Alligator mississippiensis: one gene and its partners. The protein of the gene in region 1 binds, or shares a complex with, the protein of each later gene. Links are inferred from orthologs where the notes say so. Each region holds a gene or a part of one and is shown in the gene's direction. Other genes may lie near its edges.

What was found. The genes of interacting proteins can lie anywhere in the genome.
Region 2: the proteins of RUVBL1 (region 1) and VPS72 are in contact, whole or in part, in a cryo-EM structure (PDB 9CA9), measured with the Homo sapiens proteins. The link is inferred for Alligator mississippiensis from reciprocal best matches to the Homo sapiens genes RUVBL1 and VPS72. Residues at the interface, in NP_003698.1 of Homo sapiens: Thr136, Leu138, Pro140, Glu142, Met147, Tyr150, Gly151, Lys152, Thr153, Ile154, Ser155, His156, Val157, Asp173, Pro174, Phe177, Glu178, Gln181, Ala187, Gly188, Arg205, Thr208, Tyr209, Ala210, Thr211, Glu212, Phe213; in NP_005988.1 of Homo sapiens: Ile212, His215, Arg263, Thr264, Phe265, Ile266, Thr267, Phe268, Ser269, Asp271, Phe274, Trp277, Phe278, Gln280, Gly281, Arg282, Pro283, Pro284, Lys285, Val286, Pro287, Arg289, Glu290, Ala299, Leu300, Tyr301, Arg302, Pro309.
Region 3: RUVBL1 (region 1) and MBTD1 share a complex: the UniProt entries of both Homo sapiens proteins name them as parts of the nuA4 histone acetyltransferase complex. The link is inferred for Alligator mississippiensis from reciprocal best matches to the Homo sapiens genes RUVBL1 and MBTD1.

Annotation. Positions count from the first base shown.
Region 1 is NC_081835.1:19,183,150-19,192,876, reverse strand, and holds the start of RUVBL1 (ruvB-like 1), read left to right. Parts: upstream 1-5,383; 5' UTR 5,384-5,463; coding exon 5,464-5,604; intron 5,605-5,902; coding exon 5,903-5,989; intron 5,990-7,176; coding exon 7,177-7,309; intron 7,310-9,727. UniProt on the Homo sapiens protein: Possesses single-stranded DNA-stimulated ATPase and ATP-dependent DNA helicase (3' to 5') activity; hexamerization is thought to be critical for ATP hydrolysis and adjacent subunits in the ring-like structure contribute to the ATPase activity.
Region 2 is NC_081838.1:20,094,357-20,104,683, forward strand, and holds VPS72 (vacuolar protein sorting-associated protein 72 homolog), read left to right. Parts: upstream 1-6,168; 5' UTR 6,169-6,244; coding exon 6,245-6,358; intron 6,359-6,705; coding exon 6,706-6,858; intron 6,859-7,255; coding exon 7,256-7,367; intron 7,368-7,497; coding exon 7,498-7,677; intron 7,678-8,326; coding exon 8,327-8,471; intron 8,472-8,968; coding exon 8,969-9,365; 3' UTR 9,366-9,656; downstream 9,657-10,327. UniProt on the Homo sapiens protein: Deposition-and-exchange histone chaperone specific for H2AZ1, specifically chaperones H2AZ1 and deposits it into nucleosomes.
Region 3 is NC_081831.1:10,352,145-10,362,414, forward strand, and holds the start of MBTD1 (MBT domain-containing protein 1), read left to right. Parts: upstream 1-6,111; 5' UTR 6,112-6,255; coding exon 6,256-6,276; intron 6,277-10,270. Other genes in the region: UTP18 (U3 small nucleolar RNA-associated protein 18 homolog), read right to left, coding at 1,425-1,516, 1,810-1,874, 2,876-2,971, 3,127-3,254, 5,486-5,716. UniProt on the Homo sapiens protein: Chromatin reader component of the NuA4 histone acetyltransferase complex, a multiprotein complex involved in transcriptional activation of select genes principally by acetylation of nucleosomal histones H4 and H2A.

The DNA of each region.
Region 1 (9,727 bases):
AGATTGCTAAAAGAACTGGCCAACATCATCACATGAGCAATGGAGAAGTTATTTGAAGACTCCTGGAGCTCAGGAGAGGTTCCAGAAGAATATGTTCATTAACAATTTGGATTCAGGTATTACAAGCAATCTGGCAAAGTTCTCTGATGACACCAAACTGTGGGGGAGCATTTTCACACTCGAAGACAGGCTGACAATATAGGCCAACATGCACAGGCTCGTGAAGTGGGCAGACCTCTCAACCTGATGTCATTTAATACAGAGAAATGTAAAGTGCTCCATCTGGGGAGAAATAACCCACAACACACTTACAGGCTCTGCAGTGCTCTGCTTGCCAGCACCATAACTGAATGAGATCTGGGTGTCATGACTGACAACAAAATGAGCATGAGCCACCAATGCACTGCCGCCACCTGTGAGAGCTCGCCGGGTCCCACCAGCTTCCGGGGGCATACAGCGTTCATGCCACCAATGTGATGCTGTAGCTGGCAGAGCTAACCAAATGCTGGCATGCATCTACTGTGGCATCTTGAGCAAGGCAAAGGATGTTATCCTCCCACTCTACTTGGCCATGGTGAGACCACAACTGGAGAACTGTGTCCAGTTCTGATGCCACACTTCAAGAAGGATGTGGAGAAGCTTGAGAGAGTCCAGAGAATGGCCGCATGCATGACTAGAGGCCTGGAGAACAAGACGTATGAGAAGAGGCTGAGGGACTTGGGATTGTTCAGCTTGAAGAAGAGAAGACTCAGAGGGGACTGGTTGCAGCCTATAAGTATATCAGGGGCATACATCAGGGTTTGGGGGAGCATCTATTCACCAAGGCTCCTCAGGGAAGGACAAGAAATAATGGGCATAAACTGATTGAAGAGTGCTGCAGGCTCAACATAAGGAAAAACTTCTTTACAACCTGAGCATCCAGGGTTTGGAACAGGCTCCCCCCAGAAGTGGTAGTCATCCACCATGGCAATCTTCAAAAAACGTCTTGATGCCCACTTTCCTGTCCATGTGCAGGGAGGGTGGACCTGATGATCTGCAAGGTCCCTTTCAGCCCCTAGCAACTATGAAACTATGAAACTATAAGCATCTCTTAATGGGGGAGGCCACTGATAAACTCATTTCTTGGGGCAAATAAAAAGAAAAACAAGAAGGGGAGTGAGTTTATTGGTTAATAACAAGGGATCCAGAAGGGGACACCAAGCAGAGCACCCCAGCCAGTGCCCACTGCCCCCTTAATGAGTCAAGGAAGCCTGTGGATGCCAACCAGTTAAAATGCCAAGAGATGTGAGCAGAGGAGTGACAGGAAGACAGCCCCACACTCACTTAGGTTTCCCCCAGCCAGAGCCTTCTTCTTGGTCTTGTATATGGCCAGCTTGGCCAGAGCCAGGAGGAAGTTGACCAAGATATCCCAGAGCTTAGTGGGGCCATGGACACAGAGTGCATAACAAAAAATGCAGCCAGAACCTCAGCAGGAGGTTCTAAAGGAGGCGGAAGAGGGGCTGCAACCTGGCACACTCGAGGTAGGCATGTGCCCGGGTCTCCCTCTGCTGGCAAAAGGGGCAGGTGTCAGGGGTGTCTGTAAAGTGCACCAAATACATGGTGATGGCTCCATGGAGAAGCTGCCAACTGAGGTCCCCGGTGACTTACGGGATCAAGGTGGAATACAGACTTGTCCACTGAGGACCCTCAGCCCTGCCCGTGCCATCACCTAGAGTGTCCCACCACTTGTTGTCAGGGCAGGACATGAGGACACGACGATGGATTGAGCACAGCATGACCATGTAAAGCTGGCAGCAGTCAGTTGTTTGTACGTGGACTGGCTTGATATCCCCCAGACTGCTACAATAGTTGGGTGGTGGGTGTTGTGGACTCTGCTGAGGCAGTGCCCCAAAACTAGCTCCAGAGTGCTGGGGGATGGGGACTGCCCTCATACAGGACCTGTCAATACAGGTGAAGGCAGTGGGTGGTAGTGCAGCCTCTACCTCCTGGAATAAGCGAAAGGGAGCACAGAGTGTGGGTAGCTCTATGCACTGGGCCAGCGCAGAAGGATCTGCCCACCCCTGCCTAGCATAGTGCAGAAGGTAGAATTATAGAAAGTTAGGGTTGGAAGGGACCTCAGGTCATCTAGTCCAACACTCTGCTCAAGCGGGATCAGCCCCAACTAGATCATTCCAGCCAAAGCTTTGTCTAGCTGGGGTATGGGAACCCCCAAAGATGGAGTTTCCACCACTTCTCTGGGTAACCCATTCCAGTGTTTTACTACCCTCTTAGTGAGAAAATTCTTCCTAATATCTAACCTAAATGTCCCTTGCTGCAACCTGAGACTTGCTTCTTGTTCTGTCTTCTGCCACCCCTGAGAATAGTCTAGGTCCATCCTCTTTCAAACCCCACTTCAGGTAGTTGAAGACTGCTATTACGTCTCCTTCAGTCTCCTTCTCTAGATTAAATAAGCTCAGTTCCCCCAATCTTTCCTCATAAATCATGTCCCCCAGCCCTCTCACCATTTTTGTCACCCTCCACTGGACTCTCCAATTTGTCTGCATCCAGGAGAGCAGATTTAGGTTAGACATCAGGAAAAACTTCTTTACTGTCAGGATTGCCAGAAACTAGAATGAGCTTCCAAGGGAGGCGGTGCTCTCCCCTACCTTGGGGGTCTTTAAGAGGAGGCTAGACATGCACCTGGCTGGGGTCATCTGACCCCAGCACTCTTTTGTGCCCAGGGCAGGGGGTTGGACTCAATGACCTGCTAACATCCCTTCCGACCCAAACATATATGAATCCTTTCTGTAGTGGGGGGCCCAAAACTGAACACAGTACTCCAGATGTGGCCTCAGCCATGCTGAACAGAGGGGAATAATCATTTCCCTTGACCTACTGGCAATACACCTACCAGTGCAGCCCAGTATGCTGTTAGCCTTCTTGGCAATGAGGGCACACTGCTGACTCATATTCAGCTTATTGTCCACTGTAATCCCCAGGTCCTTTTCTGCAGAGCTGCTGCCCAACCAGGCAGCCCCCAGCCTATACTAGTGCACAGGATTGTTTCATCCTAAATGCAGGATTTTGCACTCGTCCTTGCTGAACCTCATGAGATTCCTTTTGGCTCAATCCTCCAATTTGTCTATTTCACTCTGAATCCTAGCCCTACCCTCTAGCATATCTACTACTCCCTGCAGCTTGATGACATCTGCAAATTTGCTGAGGGTGCACTCTATGCCATCTTCCAGGTCATTGACGAAGACATTGAACAAAACTGGCCCCACCCAAGGTCTCCAATATGAGTGATGTTGGCCAGGACCATCCTCCAGTGCACCCAGGGCACCTCTGTCACCAGCACCATCAGCTGTAGGTTTTTCAGCAGCGGCTCAGTGAGGAGGTCAATGGTCTGGGTGACTGTGTCTGGGGACCCAGATCAACAGCCTCCAGGCCCTAAGGAGGTACTGGGAGAAGTCTGGCAGCTATTCCAGGTCCTGCTTGGGGAGATCTCACAGGGAGAAGAGCTGTCAGTCACACCAGTACCCTCAGAGGTGGTGGAGGAAAACGCAGCTGATCAGGCACCACATTGCCTGGCTATTTGCACTGTACAGCAGCCTCCTCAAGGCCTGAATACAGGTGTGGACCTGGTTGCAGAGGCAGACCAGGCCATTCATGTCCTCCTGCATGGGGAGGCTCAGGATACCTCCAGAGAACCAGTGATGTCCCAGCCAGAAGAAACCTAGTACCTATCTCTGGAGACTGGCCAGGAGATCTGGGGGCATGGCCAGGGTGTTGAAACGATGCCAAAGAACGAACAGGACTAGCTGGTTGAGGATTAGTGTCCTCCCATGAAGGGAGAGACACTGTAACAGTCCTGCCCATGCCTGCAGCTGCTCAAACACCCTGACCTCCAGCTTGTGTCAGTTCTCCAGCTTGTGCCTCCAACTTGTGTCAGCTCTCCAGATGGAGCAGCGAGCCCACACTCTGTTGGATGTACTGCAGCGCAGGTGGGAGCAAGCTCACCTGCCACCTGTCACTCACTATCAGACCAGAGCTCTTGACCCAGTTGACCCAGACAGAGGCGGCAGCTGAGTAGGTGGATCTGCAGGTCTCCAGATGCACCAGGTCACCCGGGTCTTGGACGGTGAGGCTTATGTTGGTGGCATATGGTGACAGAACCACTCGCATGGCCAGCTCCTTGAGCACCAGCACTACCACCTGCTTGTGCAGGAGGCAGAGGAACAGCTCAAAGGAAATGACATAGAGCTGGGCTGGCAGTGGACAACCTTGATGCTCTCCCAGCTGTGGACTCTGTCAGTGTCCTATCGAGCCTGACCATACACTCTGTGAAGGCATACAGCACCTGGGGAAACTGCACGAAGTGGAGACCAGAGCCAAATGTCCTCAGCGTGCCTGTGAGGTATCTGTGATCCACCCTGTCAAACACCTTCTCCTGATCAAGGGAAAGGAGGACAAATGACAGGCTGTCCCTGCGAGCAAGCTCAAGGAGGTCTCACACCAGGTACTGGCTGTCGAAGATGGAGCACCCTGCAACCGTATATCTGGTTGAGGTGAATCACATCTGCCTGCACAGACTCAGGCACAGCAAGATGACTTTTGCTATGACCTTAGTCAGAAGAGGGGAGCGAGACTGGGTGCCAGTTCCTCAGGTCACAGGAGTCCCCCTTGTTGGACAGCAGCATCAGGGCAGCCCTCCTGCACGACAGGATGAAGACGGCAGTTCTTATGTTGTAAGTGGACAGAAACAAAGCCCCACTTCTGTTCTTCCTTTAGTTGCTAACACCAAGCTCCAGAAAGGGGCTGGATTTGGCATCCACATGGCATCGCCTACTGGGACCATTGCTGGGTCAGGTCAATACCTCAGCTCTTCACTCAGTTTGAAGAGGGAGAGGAGCAGCAGGATGATTAGTTTCCCAGTGCCAAGGATAAACCATCATGAAAACACAGTGAGGAATTAAAAAAAAAAAATCAAAGAAGGCAACAACCACACAGCAAAGGCCCTTCCAGGGGACGGGAGCCAGGAAGGCAGGTTTACCACCCCTGCTGCATACAGCAGCTGAGCCTGGGAACCAAAGTGACTGCTTGGGGACAGAAGAGAGGGACTCTCAGTCACTGCCACTGAAAGCTGCATGGACCTTCCCTGACCTCACTTCCCCTCCAGCCAACAGGACACAGAGCGATCACCACGGCTGAGACAACACCCTCTAACACCCCGCGGAACCTTCCTCCCCGGCCACCCGTGCAGAGCCTTTTGAACGTCGCACAAGCGGAAGTGGATGGGCGGGTTCTAAAGAAAAGCAACCCCGCGCTGTGACAGACACGAGCAAGCCCCAATTAGCAGCTGCGCTGGCGCAGAGGGACCCAATGGCGGCGCGGGGGGCGGGGCCGGGGCCGTGGCGCCGGCCGCCTAGGTAACGCGCAGGCCGCGTGGGAACCGCTGCTGCCGCTGCTGTCTCCGCCGTCGCCATGAAGATCGAGGAGGTGAAGAGCACGTCGAAGACGCAGCGCATCGCAGCGCACAGCCATGTCAAGGGGCTCGGCCTGGACGACAGCGGCGCCGCCAAGCCCGCGAGCGCCGGGCTCGTGGGGCAGGAGAACGCGCGCGAGGTCCGCGACCCCCGCCCCTCCCCCGCGGGATGCACCCTGCCCCTCCCCCACCCCGTGCGATGAACCCCTCCCTGTTCCTCCCCCGTGGGACGGACCCCCCCCCCCCGCCACACGTCCCCCCCCCCCGCTCCCCGCTGCCCCCAGGCAACATGGTGAGCTCTGGGGCAGCCCCCTCCTCTGCCCTGGCCTCAGTTTCCCTGTCCCTGCAATAACACCCGTGCTGCCTCTCTGCGTTCTACGCATTTGAAGGCACGTTTCTGACCGGCTGGTAACTACGGACATGTCTTCCTTTTTTCAGGCCTGCGGTGTGATAGTGGAATTGATCAAAAGCAAGAAGATGGCCGGCAGAGCCGTGCTGTTGGCAGGACCGCCCGGCACTGGCAAGGTATCGTTTTGCTTGGGGCCAAAAGGCTTCCCCGCCGCGACTGTTTCTGAGGCACCGTTTCACCAGGCAGCTTCCCCGGCAGTCATGTTGGACTGGAACCAGGGTGGCCTTTGCGGCTGATCACTGCTTGACATCACATCTCCCTGCGATACGTATTTTGGCAGAAACCAATAGTTCATCTAGGTATCAGCCGCATAACACTAATGCAGGAAAATGACGGTATCATAGTCTTATGAAGTCTGTTTTTTTTGGAGGAAGCCCCAGGATTGGGGTTTTAAAAGTATTAACTTTTTTTGCACTACTTAAGGTTTAAGCATTTTCATGAGAGATGGTAAAATGATTTCTCCGCACTATCCGGAGTTTTAAAATTCTTCGTGTTGGTGCTCTTAAGTTTCTTGGGTAAAAACCCGTGTGTGTGTGTGCGTGTGTATATGCACAGGTTTGTTTCTGCATGTAAGAAACAAGGGAGAAAAGCTTGAGGATTTTTATTTTTAAGAAGAATTAAGGGTTTCTGGTCTCTCCATCTCCCCGTCCATTTTCTCACTTGTTGGATTCCTATTTTGTTAGAGATTTGGGGCATTGAATTAGGTTTATCAGAAAGTAGAACTGGAAGGGACCTCATGAGGTTATCTAGTCCATCCCCCTGCTCAAGGGAAGATCATTTCCATGTAAACCATTCCAGTGTCCATCTAACCTGCTCGTGACAATTTCTAGGGACAGCAATGCCTCTCTCAGTGGCCTGTTTCCAATGCTTAACCATCCTCATAGTGAGGAAGCTGTTCCAAATCTCCAGCCTAAATTTCCTCCATGAGCTTTCAATGTTTAGAAAACATCTGGAGAGCCTTTCAGTTGCAGATCTTGAGAAGTGGAGTATTGCTATCCACCTTCTGACCATATTAAAGTAAGTAAGGATGATCATTCCCAACTCCCCTGCCCCTGTGCTCTAGCACAGAGAAGTATGCAAACGTCAGCAGGCATGGTTCATGGGGTGAATTGATTTACCCCCTACTTCAGTTTTAGAAAGGATGCTTGGTATTTTCCTCCACCTGTAAAAATGGAATGCTGTGAAGATTAAAATAGTATTTATTCTTAACTTTGTGGAGCAGTAATCTTTTTTTTCCATAAGTTCTTGTTACTTCTTCTGAAAATATATGTGTATGATCTTCAAATGTTTTGAATTTTTATAGACTGCTTTGGCGCTGGCTATTGCTCAAGAATTGGGAAGTAAGGTTCCCTTTTGTCCTATGGTTGGAAGCGAGGTCTACTCAACTGAGATAAAAAAGACAGAAGTCCTGATGGAAAACTTCAGAAGGGCGATTGGTAAGTACTTGTTAAAAACCATGAGGGAGGGTAAAGTGGCTGTTTGGCTTTTCCGAAAAGAAAGCAGAAAATACCAGCTCTTTGGAGCAGTCCTGTTGAGCAGGCCCCACTGTCATGTTCTGATTTTTATAATTCTCTTTTTAGCACTGTTGGACATTCTTACCAGCTTAGTTGAATCAGGATGCTTTTCTGATAATTCCACATCTCCCCACCTTAGTTATTCCAGCTGAGTCTTCTTTCACTCTTCTCTTTCCATGCCCTCCAGGATCTTTTCTCAATCTTGTAAGTGGCTGTTGAACAAACCTGGAAGAAACTTTCTTTACAGTCTTGGCACTGACCTAGGCTCTGCAGGAGGGTTTTGTAGAAAGGGAGATGCTCTTTTCTCTTTCCCTTTAATATTCTCAGTTCATGCTTGTCAAAAACTCAAACGTAAGCATCCCACACTTAGCCTGGCTTCTTATTCCAGATGAGCATAAGAGACTGGTCTAAGCCACAAAAATGAGTATTGGATTCAGTTAACTTCCTTTTCAGTTCTAGTATGCTTTTTCTACTTAAGATGTTCTGTTTCAATTTATCTGGAAGAACAAAGTTAAGTTGGCAGTACAGCCTCATTGAGTATCTAAAATCTTTTATGATTGCTGCTGACAGCTGATAAAAGTCCATCAGAAGTGGTCCGTGCATGCACATGGATTGTACGGAGATAGCCTAATTGTTTTTAGTATTGAACACATTACCAGTTAACTTTCCTGTTTTCGTATCATGATTTGCTATGGACTTCAACTAGGTATCTAGTGGTGGGAAGGTGAAGACATCTCTCTCTCTTTCTCTCCCCCTGTCTACCTGTATGCAGCAACCAAACAAAAGTGACCTATTGATTTCTGTAAGAAAGCGACTTTCTATAGTGTGCAGTGTTAAAGTTACTGTTAAGTTGCTAGGGCTTGGGGGAGGGGAGTTAGGGACAGAGAGAGAGCAGTCTGCAGTATTTCCTTGACGTGATGAAGTTCCCTGTCAGAGACTTGGAAATTTGAACCAGCAAATGAAATCTGTGTCATCCACGTTGTCATTCCATAGAGATAGCAATAATTTAACTCTCTAGTTAACAGCCAGCCACATTGTTAGCACTCCACAGTCCCTGGATGTCAGCACAGAGAAGGCATCTAAACAAATATTGGTGTTAGTGAAAGATGGAGATTCTTTTAGTCCCTTCTGTTGAATTCCGTTGTAGATTCACCTAGCACAAATGATTGTTAAACATTCCTTTGGATTGATGAATTATTGTAAAAAAAAAATCCTCATAAACCAATTTTAGAAGGTTTAACCCACTTTTTTCATGATGTAAATAGTTTTCAGCCATGCTCAAATCTGACCAGTTGAATTTCACCTTTGTTGGCTGATATATAAGGTTTTGTAAAGTGTTTCCAAGAAAAGATTATGTAAGTTTTCCAAGTGGGAGTAACCTGCAGTGCAAAGCATGTGGTGACTATAAGATAGTACACCATGGATATAAGTGGGACTTCAGTTTTGAGTCTCACTTAGTGCTTTGTAATGAGGGTCCTCAGTGATAGGTCATACTAGATGCAGGGTCTAATTCATGACTCCAGCAAAGTACTTTCACTCACTTTAGCCCCCCCCCCAAGTTTGCTGAAATGATTCAAACAGTTAATAAGCTGACTCTCAAGTGTCTTTCAGAAAGTTTCTTGTTCTTGGATGTAACAAGAGTCCTTCCTTTTGCAACCATCATAACCAGAAACGGTGCTGTGCATTTTCCTGATGTTCTGGGCCTTGCTCATAAATGTGCTTTCTAGCAATGTAGCCAGTATGGTTCCCCTGTTTCCTTTTAGATTTGCTGTATCAAGTCGAGGGCACGCTGCCAGAACTGTTATTGGGGTTCCTTAAAATGTGAGATTCTGGAGTTTGTTGTATACTAAGTGCCATTCTGGATGCCAGTCGCCTACTGCCTGCGCTGGAGAATTTTCAATTTATGAGAGACATAAAAACACAGTGGATCAGGAGATCAGAGGGTGGAGTTCCCCTCTTTTTAACTTGTGGGTCTTAATCCTATATAAAGGCAGTTGTTGCTGAAAAGGCTGATAGAAGTTAATGGTAAATCCCAGTTGAAGTAAAAATAATAATAATAGTATAATCATAATTTAAAATATGATTATGAGTATAATCATAACTGCTGCCTAAAATATCCTTAGATCTCCAACCCATAACTGAGTGCTTTACAGGTAAGCAAGACTTTACTCAAGTTGCCACTAATGAGCCAGTACATACAGGACCCTACAAGTTCCTTTTTGGAATTATGCTTCTAAATACATGTACAAGAAATGCCTAGGTCATCTCTTCCTCTTCCAAGTTTGCTTCCTTCCTTAAATTAAACTTCACTCCCATTACATCCAAATAAAATTCCTAAAA
Region 2 (10,327 bases), on another chromosome or scaffold:
TGAGTTGGTTCAATAAAAGATATCAGATTTACCCAAAGAACCTTGTCTGCCATTGGCTTATCTAGACTTTATGGGGGTTCATATTAAAAAGAGATGTTTCCCCACCCTTCCTTCTGGTGCTGTGGGATGATTCCCCCAGTCGTTTGGCAACGTTATTCTCATTATGCTCATTAGCTGAGCTCTAACTGGTTTGAGGCAGGGATGTCCAACATCTGGCCTGTGCTACGTTTCAGGGGGGTGGGGTGTTAAGCGATGGTGGCAATAACCCCCGTGGCTGCTAGAGAGTTAACCCAGGGGGTTAAAGGCACTGTTGTTTGCCTTGCTGATGAATTCATGGGTGGGATCCCCATAGGGCTCAATTCTCCAGGGGCAAGGCAAGATGCAATGGTGTTAACCTCCACAGCTGCCAGCACCCAAGAGGTCCGTGAGAAGCCCCCGCGGTCCAGATCCCTGGCTGAAGGCATTAGCTGTGGGACTTTCCTTCTAATGCCTCATGGCATGTAGGAGCCAACGTTAGCAATTCCTCAATACGAGCATGATCATGTTCCAGTAGTCAGAGGATTCACCGGTGAGTCCAGACATGTCTGAAGAGGCCAATCCAAGAGTTGTGTGTTTGACTGAAGATGTGGCATCCAGTTCCAGAGGGAAGAAATGGATCCTGGTGATTTTGGATCACAGCTCTTTCTTTGTGCCTCTTGTCTATCCATCTCCATGGTGAGGTCGATGCCTTGTGGGACATCACGGCATCAGTGGGGATGATTCATGGTTGAGTCCCCCAGGTATTAATCACATCGGGGAACAAGAGGACACAAAACCAGTCCCCACTTCCTGATTTAAAACAGACAACATCTGTCTGGACCCCCAAGAGGTATTCCAGTGACTGGAAGATATGACCTGAGCACTGAGGACGCTTGATAGAGAGGGGTCAGAGAAAGCACCCTCTGCTCAGCCTGTGGGGCCGAACTCTGACACCTCTACCTTGATCTTGAGCCAAAGCTCTTGACATTAATGAGTCTTTCCATTGAGTTTGCAGGCCTGTGGGTCTGCCCTACCAATTTCATGGGGACCATTATCAGAGCAGGGAACTACAGTAAACTCTGGTTCATTTGCCATTCCAAAAGGAATGCAAATCAGGATGAACTATCCCAGAGGCACCAATTACCCCAAGCTAATTACTGGTGGGGAATTGGGACAACGGGGTATGAAACTAGAGCAGGGGGTTATTCATCTCAAGTTTACTGTATTCATCTCAGGTAAGGGTAAGAGAATCTGGCCCTTTTGTTTTCTGGGCCCAAACTGAACCTGCTATAATACTACTGAAGTCAGTGGGGTTTTGCCAGGGAAGAAGCTGACTTTTTATTTGATGGAAACAATGAAGGGACAGGTCTTTCTGCCATTCAGTGTGCTCAGCTTAAAAAAAAAACAGATAGGAAACTAATCTCCAGTTCCTTTGCTCTTACCTGAAGGCAACACCGCTGTCAAGATCAGAAGGACAGAGGAGGGGACTCTCAGACACATAGAATAATGCAAGTGCACACACACATATGCTGGACTCTGGGTTTGATGTGCAGTAGCCTTGTGTCCTGTATAGTCGTTCACACCAGTGCAGAGCAGGCAAGAAATGACACAGTTCCCAGGCTGTGCTACAGTGACTCAAATAAAAAATGATCAGAGGTCTGGGGAACAGGACTGGTGAGGAAAGGCCTAAAGAATGGGGAAGGTTGAGTCTGGAGAAGAGAAGACTGAGGGGGGACTTGATAACAGTCTCCAAATGCAGGGAGGGTAGAGATATACTATTTTCTGTGGCTGCAGGAAACAGGACAAAGAGTAACAGTCTTAAATTGCAGCAAGGGTAATTTAGCTTGAATGTTAGGAAGAGCTTCCTAGCTACAATGGTGGTTCAGCACTGGAAGAGATGCCCAGAGAGGGGGTGCAATCGCCCTCCTTGGGAGTTTTCCAGGGCAGGTTAAACAGACACTTGTCTAGCAAGGGTTTTCCAGGGATGATCCTCCTTTGAGCAAGGGGCTGGACTAGATGCAACCTCTGGAGGGCCCTACCAACCCTGCTTTTTTATGACCCTAAGTTAATGCAGACATTTGTTGTATCTATCAAACCTTTCAAATGACCTGATGGCAAAATGCTCTGGAGATTCCTGGGGTGTGAAAGCACCTGTTGAGTTCAAAAGCACCTAAGCAAAAGGAGCTGTGTTCACAGCAAATAGCTTAGCAACCTGGTAAGTGGTTAATCATGCATCTCCTCAGTAGTCTTGTGAGGTGCTTCTGGGTGTATTGCAAACCTCATCTGAGATCACCTAATTAGGCACAGACGTGTGCCATGAACACACGGAGACAAATCCAAGCCCCGTGGGAACTGCTGCAAAGTTCTCTCAGGAGAGACTATGCTGTTGAAAGTTGAGATTTACCTTATGTCTCTTTTCGGACGAAATTCAGTGGGTGTCATGGCCCTGAACTTCCATGAGATTGTGCCTGCTTACACCATGGCTGAACTTGGCCTGCAGATCCTTGTTTCTGAAGCCAGATACAACTGTCCCTGGGTGCTGTTCTTCACATGAGGTTGCCCCACTCAAGTCCGATCACAACAGGCTGCGGTGGATTTTTCGTGATAAAAGGAACATGGGTTTCAACACCCCTCGAAGCATGCACTATGAAACCTGAAATCGCAGGGAACCTGTCAATCAGCTTTTGCAAATTTGCTAAAAACAGATCTGAACAAACCAGAGGCTGATCTTTGGTTCTGATTCCAAGTGAAACTCAGAGTTTGGGGTGAGAATTCATAGAATCAGAAAATGAGGGTTGGAAAGGACCTCAGGAGGTCACATCTAGTCCCACCCCCTGCTCAAAGCAGGACCAGCCCCAACTACATCATCCCAGCCAAGGCTTTGTTGAGCTGGGTCTTAAAACACCTCCAAGGATAGAGATCCTACCACGTCTCTGGGTAACCTGTTCCAGTGCTTTACTACCCTCCTCATGAGAAAGTTTTTACTAATATCCAACCTACACCTCCCTTTCTGCAACTGGAGCCCATTGCTCCTTGTTGTCATCTGCCACCATTGGGAACAGCCCAGATGCATCCTCTGGTAGATGAAGGCTGCTAGTAAATCCCCACTCTGTCTTCTCTTCTGCAGACTAAATAAGTCCAGTTCCTTCAGTTTCTCCTCATAAATCATGTGCCACAACCATTTTTGTTGATCTCTGCTGGACTCTCTCTAACTTGTCCAGATCCCTTCTGTAGCAGGGGGCCAAAACTGGCCACTGGACTCCAGATGTGGCCTCACCAGTGCCAAACAGAGGGGACTAGGAAGACAAGGTTCTTTGGGTAAATCTGATATCTTTTATTAGACCAGCCAAAATTGTTGGAAAAAATCTTATTTGCAAGCTTTCGAGTACAAACACTCTTCATTTCCCTCTATCTGCTACAACGAACGCTCTTGATCATGCAGCCCAGGATCCTGTTAGCCTTCTTGGTGACAAGGGCACACTGCTGGTTCATATTCAACTTATTGCCCACTGTCACCCCCAGGTCCTTTTCTGCAGAGCTGGTGCCCAGCCAGCCACTCCCAGCCTATACTGGTGCATGGGCTTGTTCCACCCTAAGAGCAGGACTTTGAACTTGTCCTTGTTGAACCTCATGAGATTTAATTTGGTCCAATCCTCCGATTTGTTAAAGCAAACATTTGATTTGTTCTGGGACCCCAGGCTGAGTTCCCCAAGACATTTCCAGCAGGTTTGTGTGGGGCATTGAGATGTTGGGAGTTAAGGCTTCACAGCAGAATTCTTCAGGGAGATCCCGTTTCACTGCAACCATTGTTAGCAGCGATAAAACAAAAGGGAAAAGGTGCGATAGATCCATGGAGCAGAGTTTAAAGAGCTGCTGTTTCTGTGCCAGCCATTAGCCAGGAGGTATGGCAGGAAAGCTAAAGTCAACAGCATAAAAGGGAATCTAATGAGCCCTGGATCAGGAGTTGAGACCAGAGGTTATCAGGTCCCTGCTGTGATCAGACTAATCAAGCTGGCTGCCAGCTGCTGCTGGTAAGCTGAGATGCACGCACGCTATCCCTTGGCCTTGGCAGAGTCCCAGCTCTTGCCCTCACCTGTGGATGGACCCCCCCAGGCCATGAACCTTGTGGGGGCAGAGGCCCCAGTAGGGGTGGATCCAGGGGGATGCACTGATGCATGCGCACCTCTCTGATTCCTGCTCCACCCAAAGTTTAAAGCCTGCAGTGGCAGCAGTGTTTCTAGTCAGGCAGCGCTGACAGATCAGTGGACTTAATGGCTCACTTTCGTCTACCTGCTTCCTTCTGAACTCTTCACTCCGCAGCTGTTAACGACCCTCTCTCCTATGTAATGGCCTCAGTGTTCCCCCAGTCCAGCCAGGACCCGCTCTGCAACGCTCCTGGGCACGGAGCTCCTATTTTACAGCCCTGCTGACTGCCTTGAACTCATTCCAATAAAGTTAGATGGATGCAAAAACAAATCTTCAAGTGAAGACTACAGCCCCAGGCCCATGGCCTAGTAGGAAAAGGACGCAAGAGTAGGGGTTGACGTCATATACAGACTTCAGGAAGGCCTTCGATATGGTATCCCACCCCATACTGGTGAACAAGTTAAGAGGCTGTGACTTGGATGACTACACAGTCCGGTGGGTGGCGAATTGGCTAGAGGGTCGCACCCAGAGAGTTGTGGTGGATGGGTCGGTATCGACCTAGAAGGACATGGGCAGTGGGGTCCCGCAGGGCTCGGTCCTTGGACCGATACTCTTCAATGTCTTCATCAGTGACTTGGATGAGGGAGTGAAGTGTACTCTGTCCAAGTTTGCGGATGACACAAAACTGTGGGGAGAAGTAGACACGCCGGAGGGCAGGGAACAGCTGCAGGCAGACCTGGATAGGTTGCACAAGTGGGCAGAAAACAACAGGATGCAGTTCAACAAGGAGAAATGCAAAGTGCTGCACCTAGGGAGGAAAAATGTCCAGCACACCTACAGCCTAGGGAATGACCTGCTGGGTGGCACAGAGGTGGAAAGGGATCTTGGAGTCCTAGTGGACTCCAAGATGAACATGAGTCGGCAGTGTGACGAAGCCATCAGAAAAGCCAATGGCACTTTATCGTGCATCAGCAGATGCATGATGAACAGATCCAAGGAGGTGATACTTCCCCTCTATCGGGCGCTGGTCAGACCGCAGTTGGAGTACTGCATGCAATTCTGGGCGCCGCAATTCAAGAGGGATGTGGATAACCTGGAGAGGGTCCAGAGAAGGGCCACTCGTATGGTTAAGGGCCTGCAGACCAAGCCCTATGAGGAGAGACTGTGGCACCTGGACCTCTTCAGCCTCCGCAAGAAAAGGTTGAGAGGTGACCTTGTGGCTGCCTATAAGTTCATCACGGGGGCACAGAAGGGAATTGGTGACTTTTTATTCACCAAGGCACCCCCGGGGGTTACAAGAAATAATGGCCACAAGCTAGCAGAGAGCAGATTTAGACTGGACATTAGGAAGAACTTCTTCACAGTTCGAGTGGCCAAGGTCTGGAACGGGCTCCCAAGGGAGGTGGTGCTCTCCCCTACCCTGGGGGTCTTCAAGAGGAGGTTAGATAGGCATCTAGCTGGGGTCATCTAGACCCAGCACTCTTTCCTGCCTATGCAGGGGGTCGGACTCGATGATCTATTGAGGTCCCTTCCGACCCTAACATCTATGAAAACTTCCAGTTTCTTTTCACCGGGAGAAAAACGTGTGATGTGTCCTTTGGGAAAATGAACCACAGCATCCGCACCCCTTTTACCTCGGTCTCAGACCGTGGCTGAAAGGCTAAAGGGGCCCCAACACGTGGGCATCTTTCCCTGCAGGGTGGCAGGGCCCGCCCCTGGGTGCAGACATGCAGATCTCCTGGGGCAGCTGCCGGGGGAGCAGCATGCGCGACCCCCCGGGCGCCCAGCTTAGGCTTGGGGCGCCCGCAGCATCTTAGAAGCCAAGCAGGGCCCAGAAGGGTCAACACCTGGATGGGAGACCACAGTGGTGGGTTAGAGTAGGGGCGGGGCCACTGCGAGGAGGCAGCTCGGGGCAAGCGAGGCTCCACCCTCCTGCGCAGCCGCCAGCGATCACTCAGCGTTCGATTGGTTCCCGGCGCTCGCCTCCCGCACCACTCTCGGCGCTCCCAGGCCGCGCAGTGGCTGGCCGGCGGGTCGATCCCAGGCCGCGCAGTGGCGGGTCGGCGCGTCGCTCGGCGCCATGAGCCTGGCGGAGGGGAGGGCGCCGCGCCGCACCGCGGGCAACCGGCTCTCGGGGTTGCTGGAGGCCGAGGAGGACGAGTTCTACCAGACCACGTACGGCGGCTTCACCGAGGTGCGCCCGCACGCGGGAGGGACCCCGGGGAGGGCGGAGTTTGCCAGGGCGGGGCCTATGGGGTCATTTGCTAGGGTGGAGTGCTACTGGGGGCGGGGCCTACTGGTGGGGGTAATTGGGGGGCAGGGCCCACTAGGGTGGGAGGCATCTGGGGTGGGCACTATGGGGGGTTGGGGCATAGGAGAGTGGGGGAGAGGTTTTGGGGGGCACTTGGGAAGGGCTGGAAGAGGGGCGGGTCTGTGGGGGGTCCTTTGTGGCTGGGGCACGAGGCCCTTTGGGAGGGTTGGGGAAGGGGCCGATCCGGTGGGGGGGCCGGGGCTGACGGCAGTGTCCGGGCGGTGCCGCAGGAGTCGGGGGACGACGAGTACAAAGGCGACCAGTCGGACAGCGACGATGAGGTGGACTCGGACTTCGACATCGACGAGGGCGAGGAGCCGGCCAGCGACCAGGAGGACGGCGAGCCCAAGCGCAAGCGCCGCGTGGTTACCAAGGCCTACAAGGTGTGGCCGGGGCTCTGCTTCCCGTGGGGGTTTGGGGGAGGGGAGGCGCCCGCTCCACGGCGCAAGGGGCTGGATGTCTGGGACAAAGACCCAGGCATCCTGTGCGCCACGGGGCTTCCCGTCAAAGGGGGCTACAGATGCACTAGGGTCACCTGGATGTTTGAGGGAGGGGCGGCTGGGAAGGGGGTAAGGCCCGCTACAGCGGGAAGGGGATCGTTGGGGAGGCTTGGGGTCTGGACTCAGCAGCAGAGTTGGGGTCTGGCCTCCTGGGTTGCCTCCCTGGGAGGAGGAGGTGCCTGGTGGTAAGAACTGACCCATGAGGGGTAACAGGTGAGGAAGGTAGCATCCCCCCGGCAGCTCTCCCCTTCCTCACCCTGCTCTGCTGTGACTCCCCCAGGAGCCCCTCAAGAGCCTGAGACCCAAGAAGGCCGATGCCCCCAGCGGCAGCTCACAGAAGGCCCGAGAGGAGAAGGTGGCACCCCTGGAGCTGCAGGATGACGCTGGGGACAGTAAGTGCATGCATGGCACTCGCTAGCAGAGCTCCCCTGGCTCCTCTGTCTCTGGGAGCCTGGGGCTGCCTCCCTGCTCTGTGTCCCCCGTGCCCCCTGACCCCCCCCCCCACCTTGTTGTCCCCACCAGGCCGCAAGCACATGCGCCAGTCGACCACAGAGCACACCCGCCAGACATTCTTGCGCCTTCAGGAGCGTCAGGTGCAGTCCAAGCGCAAGAAGGGCGGCCCCAACTATGACCGTCCCCTGACACAGGAGGAGCTGCTGGAGGAGGCCAAGATCACAGAGGAGATCAACCTGCGCTCCCTAGGTGAGTAGGACCATGGCCATCACCCCATAGGGTACAAGGAGGGTGCTGGGATGGACCTGGGGCTATGGTCATGGAGGGATAGGGCTGGTGGGACCATGGCCATCACCCCATGGGGTACAGTGAGGGTGCTGGGATGGGCCTGGGGCTATGGTCATGGAGGGATAGGGCTGGTGGGGCTCACGGGCAGCAAAGGACCCCAGAAGACAGAGGCATTAGAAGCTGCCAGCCTGGGTTCCCTACCCAGAGGAGAGCAGGATGTGGTGGTTAGCGGTGGCTAGGACTCCTGGGTTCTTTGTCCAGCTCAGGTGCTACCTGGCTGGGTGATTCGTTTCACCGCTGACCCTCAGTTTCCCCCCAGTGTTAATTGGAAGTCTGCGGGTGATGTGAATGGGCACTGTCTCTTCTCACCGGTGCATGGTTGGGAACTAGATGATGATTGTGGCTGGCTCTGCAAAGGCTGCCTGCTAGGGGAGACCCCTGTCTCCCCCCTGGGTGGGGGGCACTGACCCGCCTGCTGTGACATGTCACCTTGAGTTGTGTCCCAGTGGTGGGCAAGTACCTGCAGGAGATGGGGCCTGGCACCCTAGGCGCTGAAGTGAGGTCCCCCCCAGGCCCGCTGTGCTGACATCCGGTTTCTTCATCCCTGCAGAGAACTACGAGCGCCTGGAAGCCGACAAGAAGAAGCAGGTGCAGAAGAAGCGCAAGTGCGTGGGGCCATTGATCCGGTACCACTCGGTGACCATGCCCCTTATCACCGACCTGGGCGTCAAGGAGGAGAACGTGGATGTGGAGGGGTAGGTGTTTAGGGCGCAGGGGGACCCTTGGGCCCAGTCCAGCCCTTCTCCATAAAATCCTTGTGCCCCTTCCCTTTGTAGATCCTGGAGCTCGGCTCCCGCATACCAACCTCTGTCCTTGGGCACTGCCCCCAGTCCTGGCCATGGCATCTCGCAGCTGCCAGCAACTCAGCTGCAATGCCCTGACATTCTGGCTTGCAGCTGCTCTGAGCTGGGATGGTCTGTGGACCAGAGCTGTGTGTGTATGGATTCACATAGGTCTGCCAGGGTGGTGTTTGGGGCCTGGTCAGATCCTTAGCTTGTACCAACCTGGATTAGACCCCAGGCTCTGAAGGGCGGGGTTGGGGATGGGGATGGACTGACCCAAGCAGAGGCCCTGGGGATCATGTAGGTGGCTGCCATGAGCGCAGGTAGCCCTGCTCCCTCTCTCCCTGGATGCCTGTGTCTCCTGGAGCTGAAGCCCAGACTCACCCCAGTGGTAATTCCCCCATGCCCAGGTTGGATCAAGATCTCCACCAGCCCTCAGAGGCAGCGCTGGCACCAGCTGTGGCCCCCATCACTGGGAAGTGCTCACGCACCTTCATCACCTTCAGCGACGATGAGACCTTCGAGCAGCTCTTCCCCAAGGGGCGCCAGCCCCGGCTGCCTGTGCGCGAGATCTGCCCTGTGACCCACAAGCCGGCCGTGTATCGCGACCCTGTCACTGACATCCCCTACTCCAACATCCGGGCCTTCAAAATCATCCGTGAGGCGTACAAGAAGTACATCACTGCTCATGGGCTGCCCAATGCTGCTGCCACCGCTGCCCTGGGAGCTGGGCCTCCTGGGGCTGACCCTGGCATCCGCGCCACCCGCCAGAAGATCATTATCAAGCAGACAGTCCCGGCTACATAGAGCCCTTGTGGGCGGGTGGGGGGCTCCTGTGTTCAGGGGGAAGGGGAGGAAGCTTTGTCTTTGTTTCTCAGGCCTGTGGGACTGAATCAGCTGCTATTGCTGTTATTTTTGGGGGTGAAGCAGACTGACCTCTCCAGGGGACACGGACTTATGTTGGAAGCCTCCATATGGCCCCGTGTCCTCTTCCTCCCTTTGCCTTTGTCAGGCTCAGGTGGGGGCTGCTGGTTGCTCTTTGTTTTTTTATTTATTTTTGTATAATAAATGCAAAGCCAGGTGGCAACCCTACAGAAACATAGAGGTGCGTATAGCCCCCAAGGTGACATGGGGTGGAAAGGGACCCTACAGAAGCCCAGACCAGCATGTACAGCTCCTGAGGCCTGGGACAGCCCTCGTAAACAAAGGGGGGGTACAGAGAGTCTACCGAAACACAGACTGCTGTGTACAGTTCCTGAGCCCTGGGACAGCCCTGGGAAATGGGTGCAGAGGCCCCACAAATGGTGGAGCAGGGCTGGGCTGTGTCCGTGAGCCCCGGAGTCCTGCGGGGCAGTGAAATGAAGGCTGCCTCTAGCAGAGTGGGGAGGGGTCTGGAGCTGTGACAGGCTGCTGCTGCCTGGCTCTTGCGGGGGCTCTGTGGCTGGAGCCGCTGCATGGGATCCATCGCTGAGATGCCCCACCAAGAGGTCAGATTGTAGCCAGTGGGGGGAGTGTCTGCCCAGTTGGGAGCTCAGGCCAGCTCCTCCCATCCTGCCCCCAGACCATTCACCTGCAGCTTTGCCTGGGTAGCACAGCCGGGCTGGGGTTTCTCAAGCTGGCGGTTGCAGGTGATGTCCTGTGGGTGGATGCGTGTCCCTGAGCTGCCTCCTGGCCCCAGCTCCAGCTGGCTGTATGCACCCAGGTGCTTCCTGGTGGGGTCCAACATGGCTAGAGCACCAGTGACACCCCAGCCTGTGGCCTCCAAAGCT
Region 3 (10,270 bases), on another chromosome or scaffold:
TTGAGAAGAGGGTTGGACTAGATGACCTTCTAAGTTCCTTGCCAACCCTAATTTCCAATGGTTCTATTACGGCAGTTCTCAGGTTTCTCCCCACCCCACTGTAAAGTAGTAATGCATGCCACTCTGGAGAACAATTCGGAGTGCTATCCTTCCTGCATAACCCTTGGAAGCTGGGGCCATCCTTTAGTTGAACGTATGTAGCTGGTACAAGCTATCAAAGCTTCAATACGCCTCAAATAAAGAGTTTGCAGTAAACCTGAAAATAGCTCTGAGAAATGAACAGCATCTTTCCTTTCAGCTTGTACAACAGATATCAGGTGATCCTGGCATTTAGGAGTTCTATACTAATTAGGGGTGTGTGAAATGGGCCCTATTGTATTCCGATTCGGGGGCAGTGATTTGATTTGTTGATTCAGATCACTGTCCCTGATTTTGATTCAAATTTGGCCGAATCAAAGACTCTATGCTGATTCGAAGAATCAGCAACTCGGGCACAGGCGCAGCTTTAAATGTTTTTTCTATATACCTCGGAGGTACCAGGCACAGCTCATGAACACTGCGATGCTGGGGTGGATGGAGCGTCCCACAGGAGCGTGGACGGGCCCCCTGCGTGCTAGGCTGAGAACCCAGAAGCGGACCAGAAGTACTTCCAGTCCACTTCCGTGTCCGCTGAGGAGCGTGCTGGGGGGCCCTCCTGTGCCCCTCCAGCTTGGCAATCAGCCACAGGAGGACCCTATGACCCCCCGCTAGACCCAGGCAGCACCAGTTGCCAAGCCAGGGGGTGCGTACGGGGGCCCCCTAGTGAGCTCTCTGGCACCCCCAGAAGTGGACCAGAAGTGCTTCTTGTCCACTTCTGGGTCTGCTGCCGATTGCGCTGGGGAGCTCCCTGTGCTTCTGTGGGACACTCTATGCACCCCAGCATCGCAGCACTCACGAATTGCCTGCTACCTAGAGGTATGTAGAAAAAAACATTTAAAACTGCGTCTATGTCTGAATCGGCGAATATTTCCAAATCGATTTGGAGGGTTCCAATTCAATTTGGAGAAATTAAAGGGTCCTCTGATTCAATTTGGATTCAGAGATTCAGCCACCAAATTGGGCTGAATCGAATCAGGGACCAAAGCTTTGCACAGCCCTAATGCTAATGTTTCTAGAGTAGATGGGGCTACAGGTGTTGAAACTGACTGTTAAGTCTCTCTCATCATCATATGGCACTTATGATAAGAACACAACCGACTTCATGTTCCCTAAAGGGAAAAAAAAAAAACAAGCTTTCAGGTCTGGAAAACCTTTCAGTAAACAAGGCATCCAAACAGGAACTGGCAAACACTGCTTCCCAACCAGTTGAGTAGCACAGCTCTGTCTCGAAGTCTGTGTACCCAGACCAACTCCAGGGGGGAGGGCGCAGCAGGGTAGTTATTTACCTGCAAAATACCTTTTGGTAAAGACTCTGAAATAGAGACAAAGTTGCCAGTCTTGCATAGAAGATCATCATCATCTTCATCCCCACTGTCATCTAAAAGAGGAAGCCAATTCTTGAATATACAGTTTATTCCAGTATCTCAACTCACAAATTTAAGATAATCAGATGTTTGCTTTGGGGGAAGCAGGTAGAAGTCAGTCATAAATAAAAGTGCATTGAAGAGCCAAAGCTAAAAACATCTCTGCATAGTTTACTCTAAGGGGTGGGGAGTAACAGTAAAAAAAAAAAATAAAGCTCTAAGTGGTAACACAAAGTAAGATGCATTGAAAGCACTGAATACTTTACTGACCATGTTAATTATCATCATTTCTTATTTTATATCTTACCTTTCTTGGTTTTCTTCTTTCCTCTCTGGGCCCATGAAGGCACTCCTCCCATAGCTCTCTGAAACCTTAAAAAGATAGAATACATTCCTCTTTAGGAAAGAATGAATAATATGTACACATTGCCCAGAACCCATTTTCCAGAGAGCCATTATTTCCTCCCCCATTCCCAACCATCACTGTAGAAAACAATATCTTGTGCCTGACAGAGTTCCACACTCCTACCTGACACCCATAAACCGTCCTTTCCTTCTTTTAAAGGGCTTTTCTAGTCTGCTCCCACCAAATACACTTTCTACAGCCTGAGATCAAACTGCTGTAACTATAAAATACTCTTGGGCACGCTGGTTTTATTAACCATGGAAAGACAGACTCCAAGTGTCCAAGTACAGAAGTAACTTCAAAACTGAACAAGTGACATTTTCCTACATGGTTATGTTCACATGTATTCCAGAAAGCCCTTAAATACAAAGGTATTTACATTTCTAGTGGCAGCAACTTTTTCTTATATTCACAAAACTGTACGTTTGGGCTCACAACTTCTGTCTTCACCAAAATGTTGTCTCTCTCCTTTAAACTAAACACTCCTCCCTAATAGTACTGATTAACACACTTCACTGTCTCCTTTTAGGACCCAGCACTGACTGCAACTGTCAGATCTCTACTCGGCTACTGTTTTCCTCCCTCAGGCAACTTCTTATTTATATTCCCTTCTTACTCGCCACTGTATTGCTGTGCACGAAAACTACTGCTATGTTCCAATGCATTGGTGAAACAATACCTACGCAAATTTGAAACTGGGCCCTTGGAATGAAAAGAAAATACACAAATCCTCTCTTTCAAGGAGTAATGCCAGGATTAATGCTAAGGAAATCAAGGTTGCTTACTCCAAAAGCACAAGTAAAATTTCACTGCAACATGCTGAGTATTTAGGTGTTGTCGGGGGGGGGGGGGGGGGGGGGGGGGGAAGGAGGCATTTTTAATACTGCTATTAGATCAATTCTTGTTATTGAAATTAGCAGCAAGATTTATGATTAGCAAAATCTGTTTGTATAGGAAAAAACCTTACTGTTCCTGAAGTCTTATTTGAAGTTTTTCTTTGGTAAGACTCTTCTCGGCATCACTCTTCATCATGTCTTTCCGATACCGATGGGTCATATCAATCCTAGACAACAGAGCCATATTTAGGATGTGAATAAAAAATTGCAAGTTTAATGACTTTGTTCTCAGTATACCTCCAAGAAATAGGCAGTTAAAAAGGAACCTAATCAAAGTCCCACCTCTCCTGCCCCCTTTTTGGTCGCTACGTACTGAACTTACTTTTCTTTAATTTCATCGTCATCGTCCACCCAGGCTGGTTTCTTAGATAGAGGAAAATTGTCTTGTGCTTCATCTTCTGAATCACTGGAGTCCCCTTTCAGAAGATTTCCACTGATTACCCCATCAAGCTTAAAAACAAACAAACACACATAAGTCTAAGGGTACAGGCACCTGTATACCTGGAGTCATTTTAAGAGGTGAACACTTCGAAAGGCAAGAGCTGTTACCTCCTAATTGTTATTCAGGAACAAGTCAGCAACAATAGAAATGTAGCAAGACCACTCCCACTTCAGTGCTGCTTTATTAAGCAGCAGCAGGGGTTGAAACAGTGTTAAAGTTGGAGCAGTTGTGTTACAATTGTACCAGTTTGTCCTTCACAGATAACAATTATAAAGTAATAATTGCTGTCCTTTTGAAGCACTCCCTTTTGAAATAGCTCCAAGTGTACCTGTAGACATATCCTAAAATAACAAATTTAACAACTGTAAACTGAGAAGACACTTTTCAGGAAAGCAAGTGTAAACAATCACCATCTCCTGTAAAGACAAACACATAGAAAAAACAAATGTTAGTCCTATGGCAATTCATCGCTAAACCATTTCCTCAGAAGGGGAAGTTTAGAAGACAGACTCATGAGAGGTAAAGCAGGCTAGTAAAAAAGGCTGCCTACAAAGCAGTTGTAGCAGGTGTCAAACTCATCCATCACTGTAGACTGAACGAGTGGTGCAGAGCCAGTCCACAGACCGAATCAGGCCTGCAAATCCCCTCCCTTCCCCTGGCATTCTGGGTTCAAAACCCACTCCAGCCACTGTGGGATCCACGCTGTGTGCACACAGATCGCAGAGCAGCCAGAACAGGCACTGTGTGCAGCACACTATAACAGGGGGTGCACAGCACAGACTTCAGACCGGCCAGTACCCTCCCTGGCCAGGCTGCACCACATGTGGCACCCCCACTGAGAACTGTGCTACACATGGTGCCACTCCTGGTCTGGGACCCACACTGCACACGGTGCTTGCAGGCACTGCATGTAGTGCAGGTGCCAAACTGGCTAGAGTGGGTGCTGTGTGCAGAGTTGTCGGGCCACGGCAGGCACCGCATGTAGTATAGTACCTGCTCTGGCTAGTCTGGGATCTACATGCCCCCAGCTGACAGCCACGAGGTGCCCATTCCAGTTACTCTGGGATCTGCACCACATGCGTCCGTCTCTGTGGCACAATTCTGGAGCAGCATCTGGAGCTGCAGGTTGGGCCCCCACACCTCTTCCCTCCCCTTCCACCACAACACACTTACCAGCTGCACACAGCTCTCCATGCTGTATTGGTATCAGCGGATACGCTTCCTTAAAAACTGGCTATCAGTATTGGCCCCAAAAACCTCTCTATTGGTGCAGCCCTAGGTTGGGGAGGCTGAGGGGGGGGGGCCGTGCAGTGCATGATCTACTCTTACGTAGAGATGAGATCAGCGTTTCTCAGCCCGTGGGTCATGACCCAAAAGTGGGTTGCAAGAACATATGAAAGGGTCTCAAACAAACTTTAAAAATGGATTCTCCTTTAACAGAGATAAACATGGGAAACCGTGGCTTTCCCCTTGCTGGATGGCAGAGTCCCAGCCTGCGAGGAGATGCTCAGGGCCCCTGCTGCCCCATACCCATGCAAAAAGGGGGGGGGGGGGTAGGGCCTGGGGGCAGCCTTTTGGGAGTGAAGGACACCGGGTCGGGACTAGCCATTGATGTTTACAAACGAGTCCTAGTACAAAAAAAAGTTGAGAACCACTGCTCAAAACCAGCTGTTCCCAATCTGCGGTACATGCACCACCGGCGGTACGCAGACAACCCATCAGCAGTACACATTAACAATTAATAACTACTTAAACACGACAAAAATGCATCAGATTGAAGTGAGTAAGTCACTGGTGGTAAAGGTGGTCTCATTTTAAATCAGCGGTGCGCAACCCGTCTGCTCTAGACGACGGGCGGATGGGACGGTTGGGTCGGGACGATCCTGCCTCACGCAGGGGCGGGACTCGGTGACCGCTGGAGGTCTCTTCCAGCTCCGCCTAGGACGGGGGCCACAATTAAGAAGCGAAGGCGGCCGGCAGCAAGTGTGTTTGAACAGCCAGGGCAGGAGGATGAACATCGCCAACGAAAGGGTGGAGAAAGAAAGGGGGGGACGAGGACGAGGGCAGCAGGATGGAGGCCGGACGCCACGTGGGACGCCTGGCAGACCCCTCCCGCGCCCGCTGCAAGGCCCAGGGCTGGGAGCCCCTCCCGTCTGCCGGCTCCCCCCGCATTTCCACCCGCTCCTCGAGGCGCCACGCGGGCGCGGGGGCACGCAGCGAGGCTCCTGCCCGGCCTCACCTGCTGGCTCGGGCCCCGCAGGCGCTGCAGCAGCTCCGCCTCGCCCGCCTCCTGGACGCCGCCGAACACCAGCGCCTCCAGGCAGCGCTCCACCGCCGCGCTCTCGCCCAGCGCGCCCGGCAGCCGCGCCCCCTCGCCGGCCTCCGCACCGCCCGCGAGCCGCTGCCTGTGCCGCCGGCGCCGCTTCGCGCCGGGCAGGATACCGGCGCCAGCTACCACCTGCTCCTCCATAGCCGCTCAGCGGAAGCGGAAGTGACACTACCCCTTCACGTGACAATCCCACCCCAATCACGTGACGCCTCGCTTCCTGCCCCATGTGACAGCTGGACCGGTCCATTCGCCCCCTTTGCGCGGGGGGGCTGTAGGCTGCGCTTGCCGCCTCCTCCTCCTCCTCCAGGAACTTTGTAGAGACGGAGCCGCCCCGCCGTGCCCCTCAGGAGCTCGGCAACAACCAGCAGGTGAAGCCGTGTGCCGCCGGGCAGCGCAGCCCGCGCGTTTCCCCCACCGCGGAATGGTGCGCGCCGGGCGAGTACGGCGAGCCGGGAGGGCCGCAAAGCCCCGGGGGGCGGGGCCGGGGCTCTCGCCGCGCCTGCGCACTGCGGGGATGCTAATGTTGTTGATAGTCTGGCCCGGGGAGTTGGGGTTTCTTTCTCTGTGGCCCGAGCGCGCGGCGGGACGTCGGGCCCGGCGGGGGGGCGCGCAGGCGGCGCGGGCCGAGCCGGGGGCAGGGCCGGGCGCGGCGGCGGCCGCCCGCTGCCCATGAGGGCCTGATGGAAAACACAAAGGACCTGGTGAGCGGCGCGGGCGGGGGGCGGCCGCCGGGAGGGGGCTGGGCCCGGGAAAGTTTCGCGGAGCGTCGGGCTCGCTCCCCCCTCGCCTCGTCCCCACAGCCCGGGGCGGCCGGGCCGCTTCCCGCGGCGGGGGAGCGCGTCCCAGCCCGGCCGGGGGGCAGCCAGCGTGTGGGGAGCGTGGACAACTCCGGTGCGCTGGGAAGAGAGGCTGCAGCCCCCTCGGTCTGCAAACCAGCCGCCTCCCCGCGCCAACCGCGCTCCCCAAAACGCTTCGTTATCTCGTGTCGGCAAGAGCGACTCAGGGGTCGCGTCGATGCGCGGCCTCCCGAACGGCCGTGCGTGTCTTCTGAACGCTTTTGCTGCGGCGCGTGGTGCGAGTCCGTGGGTTCGTTCGTACGTGCACATCCACAGGGCGGATACGTACGTACGTGCAGAGGGTTGAAGCGATGGCACGGGTGGGATAATTGGGCGCCAGGAGGGGACGTCCGGCGGGAAGGTTGGTCGGTCGGTCATGCCGGGGACAGGGAAGGCCTGGGGCTGCCGGGACGTCAGCGTTGAGAGAACGTGCGAATCCACGTGTGTTTGTACAAGCGCGTGCGATGGATACGTACGTACAAACACGTACGAGGGTTGAAATAGGATAACTGTCGGACGCTTGGCGACGCCGCTGGGGCCTGAGATGTGACCCCGCAGCCGCCGTCTGTAGGGAGGGGACGTCCCGCGGGAAGGGGGTTTGTCGTGTCGGGAGCAGGAAAGCGGCTGGGGCTGACGGGACGTCGGAGCGAAGAGGAGCCGCTCGGGAGAGAACCAGAGGGACGGGAGGTCGTGAAGGGGAGTACAGCTGTCGCTCTGCAATGCCAGCCTGGGAGCTTCGTGCTCTGCTGTTATTTTAGTCTCTGGTTTTCACACCGTGGCTACGTGGGAGAAAACCCAACATCATCTAGGTCCTGGTACTGAAACGCTCCAGCCTTGTGCAGTGGGACACGACTAGGACCTGGAAAACAGGATTTGTACTTCCTCGGACGTAACTGCTGGGGAGGTGGAGAAGTTGGAGGTGTCCCCTTCCTTGCCTTCCCTGGTTTTTGACTCCCTGAAAATTGACTCCAGTCCTGCAGGGTGCCCACCCAGTGCCCTGAACATGGTAGGGTGGTGCTGCTGGAGTGGTGATGGTCACCACACTATGTTGGAGGTGAGGGTCTAGTGCAGCGGTTCTGAACCGGGGATACACGTACCCCCCCGGGGGTACGTGAAGCCTCATTCGGAGGTACGTGAGATATATTTCATACACTGTCTAACAGAGGTCGAAGGGCCTAAAAAAATTAATTTCCCATTGAAAGGGGGTACATGAAGTCTCACTCTGACACCAAAGGCTATGTCAACTGAAAAAGGTTGAGAACCACTGATCTAGTGGGTGATATCTTTTATTGCAGTGTGCAGCTGGTTCAATAAAAGACATTGCCCCCGAGCATCCTTGCCTTTGAACTTCCTGCTGGCTTTCTGCTTTTAAGCTGGTTATTTTTTTGCCTGCTGATGCTGAACTGTATTTTGAAACGAAGCTGTTGCTTTCTCCTACGTTTCCTGCTTTTCCTAGTATTCTGCTTTCTTTGCCCAAGGACTTTAGGGGACAACACAGTTTAAGTGTTAGGATAATTCCCCACTTATGTATGATTTCTTTTTATCTTGACACTTCTGTTTGCTCTGTAGGATTTGTTTTTCTTGTTGTTGTGTTTCTGGCATCAATTTGAAATCTAATTAGTTTTTAAAAAGCAATTGCAATTTTCTAGTGGTACTCCAGTCCTAACTTTTTAAAGAACACCTCTAATATGTGAGGATTGCTTCCACCCTCAGAAGGCCCCTGTCAGCTAGGTGAGACTGACAATAGACAAAGCGCTGTTAAGTGCACAAACTGAAGGGCAAAACTGTGTAATGATTTTTGCAGATGAAACTTTTAATTGTTGCAATAATTGGCAACACACTCTTGGTTAGAAATGAGTCCTCCCAAGAGGAGAAGTAAAAAGTGGGAATCGGAAGAGATGTTTTTATAAATCTCCTCATATGTTGCCTTTAAGTTGCTGCTGAGTTGCTTGCATTTCTGATAGTTGTAACGTTCTGACAAGGTTTTAGCTTCACAGAACCAGAGAGGGCAGACATACAATAAATCTGCACATTTCCAATGGTTCTAGTTGATTTTGGTTAGCTTTTGTGTGAAAGAGATGTAATAATAAAAAAATCACTTCAGTTGCTGGTGCTTACAGTTTACTCCCATCTAGAGTTAGGACTGAGCTTACCATGTATATTTATAAGTCTTTTCTAACCAAAAAAAAAAGAAGTATGGATGTCAAATTTCTTATAAAACTTAAAGAAAAATATTGTACAGTGATAAAATGTCTGATGAATTGAGTCTGTTTGCGGTTAATAGCTTGTAGGTCCTGCGGAGGTGCATTACCTCCTGTATTCATGCAGGTAGTACTAGGTGCTAGTAGTAGCCTCTGATGTGATGCAACTGTCCTAGAGGTTACACCTCTCCCCTCTAATGCAGACCTCGATGTATTGATCCGTGCCTCAGCTGCCTATAATATAGTTACATATTTTGGGGTTAAGTTTCAATATAAGCTGAGGTCTGTGTGGTGCAGCTGCAAATCTTTGTGAGATGAGCCTTTAGTAATCTTTATGAAAGCACTGTAGTGGTTCCTTTCTCGTATCTGGAAGCTGTTCAAGATTTGGCGAGTGTAGTTAATATTTTGAATAGACTTGGATCTGGATATTTGAAACCTTCCTCTATGCCTCCAAATCCATGCTGTCACAGCAGTTAACAGCTGCCAGAGTGCTCGTCCTAGAAAGCACGGGGAAGAGCTATCTAGGTTGAAGGGCAGGATGTTTTCTGTTGCAGGTTTTTGCCTTCTACTCATGGTAGTCTGCCAACCCTTGAGTTTGGTTTCCATCAGGACATAATTAAGGAAATGTTTTGATTAAATACTTATTTCCCCTTTTGTGTTGTGTTTTGGTTTGTGTAACTCACTTTTTCTGGCTAGCCTTCTAGTTGGTTGTGATTTCAAAAGAGCATGTGCATTGTATGGCGCAGGCACATAGTCACCTGCATGGACATGCATTAAACACATTGTTACCTCAGCTGCCATACAGGTTAGATGGTTGTGTGCAGTAGGGAGTAGCTGCCAGTTATCTGTCCCAAGCCAGTTTAGCAACACAGTTTCTTGCCCAAGATTAGGGGAGGAGGATCATCTGTAAAAATGCTGGGGGCGGGGGGAGTTCTGCCATAGCACTTTGATATTGGTATGCCTAATTAAGCTCCATCATGCCTTTTTGATACGTGCACTGTCATCCGGCTCCCTGGTGGGCCAGAATGGTGTTGTAGCTCTTCAAGAAAGAGAAGTGTATGGCTGTCTGGTGGAGGGATGTTATTTCTCCAGTGGTTGCATTCTGTCGTATTTCCCCAATGAGTTTGCAGTGTTTGCACGTATGCAAAGTGTTCAATCTCTTTAAGACGGCAAGCCCCAACCAACATACCTACTGAGTCTGGTACCTTTTTTTTTAGGAACTGCTTCACTTTACTTTTCCAGTACCTTTTTTTTTTTTTGCTACAGACATTTCCCATAACACCTCTTTCCTCCTGCTACTTGAGGCTAGGCAACTCCGTGTTTTATGGGGCCTCAGACTTCCCCCACTCAAGACATTTTTGGCATGGGGGGAAGAAGACCCTTGGCTATCAGAGGTGAAACTAGTGCCCTGAATCCTAGTAATAATTTTGAGGTAGAGACAAACTTTCTCCAGCCTTCTTCCTGTTAATTCCAGCTTCTAAAGGGTGTGGAGAAGCTTTTTCTTTTGTCCATTTTTTTTTCCCTCGTGAGAGTCCTCACTAAGCATACCCATGTTAATAGACAACTTAATATGATGCAGTTCTGTTGGAATTAGTCCAAGCTATTTGTGGTTTTAGGTGGACTTTTAGAGAGAGAATAAGTTACTAAAATCTCAGTGC